Linked DNA regions of Yarrowia lipolytica. The protein of the gene in region 2 interacts with the protein of the main gene of each other region in a biochemical or structural test. Links are inferred from orthologs where the notes say so. Each region holds a gene or a part of one and is shown on either strand. Other genes may lie near its edges.

Region 1 (2,113 bases), on a different chromosome or scaffold from region 2:
CTCGAAAGCGAGCACGATCTACCACTGAAGACTCTGATTCGCGAAAGCGGTCGCGCCGAAACACCTCTGCTGCCCCTTCGGCCAACCGCAAGTTTCAGAACGTGGCTGGCAATCTGCTCTCGAACATCTCATCCAACAAATCTGCGTCTTTCTTCACACACCCTGTCAATCCCAACAGTGCGCCCAACTACTACGAGTTGATCTTTTCGCCGACGGACATCCGGACCATCAAGGCCCAGGTCAAGGACGGACGTATTTCATCCACTTCTGAGCTTGAACGTGAGGTCGCCAAGATGTTTGCCAACGCCATCATGTACAACCCTTGGGACTCTGATGTAAACCTGTGGGCTCGAGAGATGCAGCAGGAGACTGATGCTCTCTTGACCTTGTTTCGGGGAGCAGGTGGGGAGTAGAACATAATTACGATTGATAATGATTACAAATGTATAACACCATGTTTGCAGTTGCAACTAAAGTGGTGCAGCTATGAGTGGCACAGTCCAGTATGATCAGACTCCGGGCAGATGATGATAGTGATGCAGAATAAATACAATATCAAAGTACAACAAGGGCAACATCAAACACAATCATTGGGGTTGCACCGCCTCATCTAGTAACTCGAACAGGGATCAATTAATATGTACATTTTATCTCTTCTGCATAAGAGCAGCGTTCTGTTCCTGGAATCTCTGGCCGACTCGTTCAGAGTGCTTGAGGAACTTCTCGGAGCACTTCTCGAGACAAGACTCTTCTCGGGAAGACAGAGCCTTGGAGGTGAAGTCGTTGACACAGTCAGTGAAGCATCGCTGGACGAGAGAGGAGTAGAGCTGGGTTAGTATGTGTGGTGTGGTGTTGTGTTCTGTTCTGTTGTCGTGGTTGTCATCAAGAAATTTGGAATACTCACTCGCATGAAATCCTTCATCTGCTTCTGCTCGACGAGCTGCTGGAACTCCTGCTGTTCTCGGTTGTTCAATTGATCCATCTTGTGTTGTGATTTGGGTGACTGATGTGTGTGATTGTCTTGAGCAACAACGAATACTTTTCACTCCCAGGTGGAAAAGGGTATCACGTGTCGAGTTTATTTTCCAGAGAGGGGCGAGTGTGATTGGGCTGAAATATGGCGTTCAAAGGCTTTTCAGAGTCCCGTGAGCATATAATATCATTGTGCACTGTTGAAATAACTACATCTTCTCATTCTTCTGATATTTCGCCCTCAATGAACCGCTGCACTCCTATTGCCACTCATCACCAAATCTCGGTATGAACCTTGTAGAGTTCGGAGAAGCTGGGAGAATCACGGCTTCAAGAAGTCTCATAAACACGCAATTTGAGCGGTATTGAAAATCTAACATTTTAGTTGGACTCATCTTATCGCAAGTACCGACCAAAAAACTTGAAATTCTCGATTTTGCGCGCCGAAACATCATGTTCAACGCACCTTCTTATGCACTCTTTATCACGGTGATATAGTTGTTCAGTATTTCTACAAGTACAAGTTCTGGTAAAAACCTATAACCTTACCCAACTCCATCACACCCAGTGAAGAAATATGCCTCACTGAATCCTCAAACAAAACACCTTGACCAGCGAATATGTGGAATGTCCATCTTTAGAATACACAAACACACTCGTACAAGTACCGTACCAGCCACATACTTCAAATACACTTCTCTATCACAATATTCCCTTGCTTAAACACATTGCTACAAGGGTTAAACCACAGGGTGCCATCTTACAGTATATGTATCGTACAGTGGTTAAGATTAGTTTATCTCCGGATCATCAGAGTTAATCATACCCATAGATACAGCTGCGGAAAGGCGATTGTTATACAGCATGGCACATTATTACAAGAACCGTGTACATCCACACTAAATCCATCACACCCACTACTCATCAATAATTCGTTCAATGTCATAATATCATCTAAATCATACATAATTACTGGAGCTTGTTGATAACAGCCATGGTGAACTCGTCAGTAGTGGAGTTGCCGCCAAGATCGGGGGTTCGGACCTGGCCCTCAGCAAGAACGTCGTAGGTAGCCTTGGAGATGACGTCAGCGAAGTCATCGAGGTTGAGGTGTCGCAGAAGCATGGCGGAAGACAGAATC
Region 2 (3,758 bases):
AGGGTTAGCTTTATGATATAATGAATGACAATACCAGATACAAGTATGACGTTTTTGGTCCAGCTCATGTATTATATTACGAGATTAGATGATGCGAATGTACACTACCGGTACAGTATGTACAACTACAGTACAGTTGGCATCAGCAGCGTGGTGCCGCCAATGCTCCTCAATGTGAATATTTACAATACAGCTCCTATAAAAACGTTACTCCTCCTATGCATCTACGCCGACTTTGCGCTGGCGGCGCCGGCACCTATTCGGACGCCGTCGTCGTACGACCGGTCCTCCTGGTCCTCGTCGTCATCCTTGCTCTTCTTGGAGCCTCGGTTGTCCCGGATATCCTTGGACTTGACGACCGTCACAGATAGACCCTTTTCTCGGGGCAGTTTCTCTCCCTTGACCACCTGCTTGATTTCCTCAGCAGTGAGGGTCTCGTAGTCGAGCAGCGACTGCGCAAGGCGATGCAATTCCGGCAGCTTTTCCGTGAGCAGCTCACGCGACCGTTTTTCCGAGTTGAAGAGAATCTTCTGAATCTCGCCCTCGGCCAGCTGCTGCAGATGCTGCGACCACTGCTCGTCACCAAACGACATGGGTCCCACTGCGTCGGACATGCCGTAGGTGGTGACCATATGCTTTGCCATGGACGTGGCCTGTCGGAGGTCGGAAGAGCAACCACCGGTCACATTCTCGGCACCGTTGATAAGCTCCTCGGCAATCTTGCCTCCCATGCACACGTCGACACGAGCAAACATCTCCTGCTTGGTCATGTCGTACTTGTCCAGCTCGGGAAGCTGCTGAACAAGACCCAGGGCCTGGCCTCGGGGCAGAATGGTCGCCTTGTAGATGGGGGTGGCAGCGGGGCTGTACAGCGCCATCAGGGCGTGTCCGGCCTCGTGGTAGGCGGTGTTTCGGATCGACTCCTCGGTGAGCACCATCTTGGATCGGGCGGCTCCCATCAGAATCTTGTCTTTGGCCCACTCAAAGTGAGACATGTCCACGGACAGCGCCTTCTCCTTGGATGCCTGGATGGCGGCCTGGTTGACCAGGTTCATGAGCTCGGCTCCGGAGAAACCAGAGGTACCTCGAGCAAGCACTGAACAGTCAACCAGAGGGGAAGCCTCGACCTTCTTCATATGGTGCTTCAGAATGGCGATTCGGCCTCGCACATCGGGAAGCTCCACGTTGACCATCTTGTCGAAACGTCCAGGTCGGGTCAGAGCCTTGTCCAGCATCTGGGGGAAGTTGGTGGCGGCAATAATCACAATTCCGGTGGAGGGAGAGAAGCCGTCGAGCTCGATAAGCAGCTGGTTGAGAGTCTGCTTGGAGTAGGCGTGGTCCTTGGGGTTTCGCTTGCCTCCGATGGCGTCCAGCTCATCAATGAAGATGATGGCAGGAGCCTTGGCTCGGGCCTTCTCAAACAATTCTCGAACACGTTTGGCTCCCACGCCGACGTACATTTCGTCAAACTCAGATCCAGAAACAAAGTAGAAGGGGACATCGGCCTCACCGGCCACGGCTCGTGCCAGCAGAGTCTTACCTGTTCCGGGGGGTCCAGTCAGCAGCACGCCCTTGGGCAGCTTGCCACCCAGACCGGTGAACTTGGAGGGGTCCTTGAGGAAATCGACAATCTCTTCCAGCTCGCCTCGGGCCTCGTCCACGCCGTGCACGTCCGAAAACTTGACGGTGGACTTGGAGCCGTCGGTGGGGTCCATGAGCTTGGAGTTGAATCCGGAGGTGCCGGATCCCTTGAGCAGCGACGACTCGGCCAGCAGCTGCATGCTCTGCCAGACCATGTAGCCGATAAGGGCAAGGGGCAGGATGAATCGGATCCATTTGGTGACTGCGGAGGCGGTGGTTTCCTTGAGGATGACGTGGACGGGGTCTGATCGCGTGCCCTTTTGTCCGTTTCCGGCCAAGTTGCCGCCCAGCAGTCGGTGTTCCATGTTCTCGGCCTTGTCGTGCTGGCCCTGCGATTTCAGCGCCGCCACGTAGAGCTTGTCGCAGTCGGCGTTACGGGCCACGCCGGGCGATTCGTACCGCTGCACCACCACATGGGGGTAGTTTGTGTTGATCAGCGCCTTGTAGAAGTCCAGCTGGGCCTGGGGGTTGTTGAGCGAGCGGTTGGCAGCCTGTTCCTTTTCGGCCAGCACGTGGGTCGGCACCGTGTCGGAGAGAAACCCGGGTTTAAGAGACGACCAGTTGAAGGAGCGGCACGAGACCGGCACAGGCGAGAGCGAGTTGTAGGGGGTCCAAACGGACCGTTTCAGAGCGTGCGGTCGCAGCAGCGGGCTGGACATGAGCCCGGGCGACCGTGTCACACTCCTCAGTCCTGCAAAGAGGCTTTTCATGTGGAATATGTCGATGTGTGTGTGGGGTTGAGTGTGGTGTAATGAGTAAGGAGGGTACAAGTAGTCACCAAGAGGGTCGTTTGAGGTGGCGAGATGAACTTTGTTTTGCAAGATGGATTTTTCTGTCAAGTACTTGTTGACGAGACCCAGGGAGGCTTACTTGTATGAAAGAGACCAGCTGGGTGGCAAAGCAGGAGCCCTAAAAGACGAGCGATGACGGGCTTGTTTCAGAGCAACTTTCCCCGGTGGCAATAGCGACACTTATAAGCACTGGGTATTCCCCGCGAATATGAAGCACCACCGGGACTCGAACTGAGGCATTACTGAAGGCAACAGATGTCAGGCGGGGGATTGCTTCCGAAACATTTAGAAGGTTCTGGGAAATGGGCTGCTCCGCCACGTGACGCGTCTCGGAGATCCGGCGAACGAGACCTGAGGAGAGGAGAGCGAAGAGAATCTGTGTTTTTCGACGAGTTTCGACGAGTTTCGACGAGTTTCGACGAGTTTCGACAAGTTTCGACAATTCTCGACGAGTTTTGACGAGTTTCAACGAGCTTTCTTTCAAGAACAACCAGCAAAAACCGTCAATTTTGGAGCTCTTGGACTCTCACAGCAATGAGCAAATACAACTATGTAAAATGATACATCCAGCCAGTGACGTAATAAGCTAATAGGTGTGGCGTTGAACAACTACGAGGCGAGAGGCGGTGGGTGGGTCACGTGACCAGGGAAAAGGGATCTCGGAGGTGTGTGGTCATGACTTTCTGTTTGATATCTGTGTTCCACTGCCCATATATCTCTTGGATGATATCTCGCATCGATATCTACTTGTATAATCTCGCATCGACATCTCAAGTCGGCTGCGTATAGTCTGTCAGAGATTTGAGCAGTGACTGAATGATAAAAATTTACATTTTTTGACATTTTTTGACATTTTTAGATTCCTCTCGAACAATAGAATCGAATGGTCAACTCCATTTTCCAATCGAACCTCTCCATCTCCTACAAAATACACTCTAGAAAGGTGGACTGAAATGAAAGGTACAACTTACAGTATATAAACTGTACATACTGGAGTGAACATGACAATACGTACATGTACAGTGCCACACTCAGATCGCTGGTTTCTGGCCAAAAACGATCAAAAAAGTGGAAAAAATACTCCCCCAATCTTCAGCTATTCACAGAACTAGTTTTCAGACAAAAACTCGCCTTCTATGCTGTTTCCGAACAAGACCGATTCCCTCTCCAAATCACCTCACTATCACTCATCGGCGAAACTCTATTTCAAAACTTAATCAAACTTGCTCAACCACCGGTCGTCGGTCGACGTCACGTGATCACCAACTCTCCAGATGCGAAGGAATCGCCGATACCGGCATCATCTCCAAAGCAGCCCACATGTGT

Evidence for each region. The genes of interacting proteins can lie anywhere in the genome.
Region 1: the proteins of YALI1_B02375g (region 2) and YALI1_E05994g form a complex in vitro, tested with the Saccharomyces cerevisiae proteins (2 studies listed by BioGRID, with this or other methods). The link is inferred for Yarrowia lipolytica from reciprocal best matches to the Saccharomyces cerevisiae genes YME1 and TIM9.

The regions. Positions count from the first base shown.
Region 1 is NC_090774.1:598,574-600,686, forward strand, and holds YALI1_E05994g (uncharacterized protein), read right to left. Parts: upstream 983-2,113; coding exon 905-982; intron 828-904; coding exon 648-827; downstream 1-647. Other genes in the region: YALI1_E05975g (uncharacterized protein), read left to right, coding at 1-413; YALI1_E06015g (uncharacterized protein), read right to left, coding at 1,942-2,113. UniProt on the Saccharomyces cerevisiae protein: Mitochondrial intermembrane chaperone that participates in the import and insertion of multi-pass transmembrane proteins into the mitochondrial inner membrane.
Region 2 is NC_090771.1:236,185-239,942, reverse strand, and holds YALI1_B02375g (uncharacterized protein), read right to left. Parts: upstream 2,352-3,758; coding exon 225-2,351; downstream 1-224. Other genes in the region: YALI1_B02415g (uncharacterized protein), read left to right, coding at 1-8. UniProt on the Saccharomyces cerevisiae protein: Catalytic subunit of the mitochondrial inner membrane i-AAA protease supercomplex required for mitochondrial inner membrane protein turnover. The protease is probably ATP-dependent. Important to maintain the integrity of the mitochondrial compartment.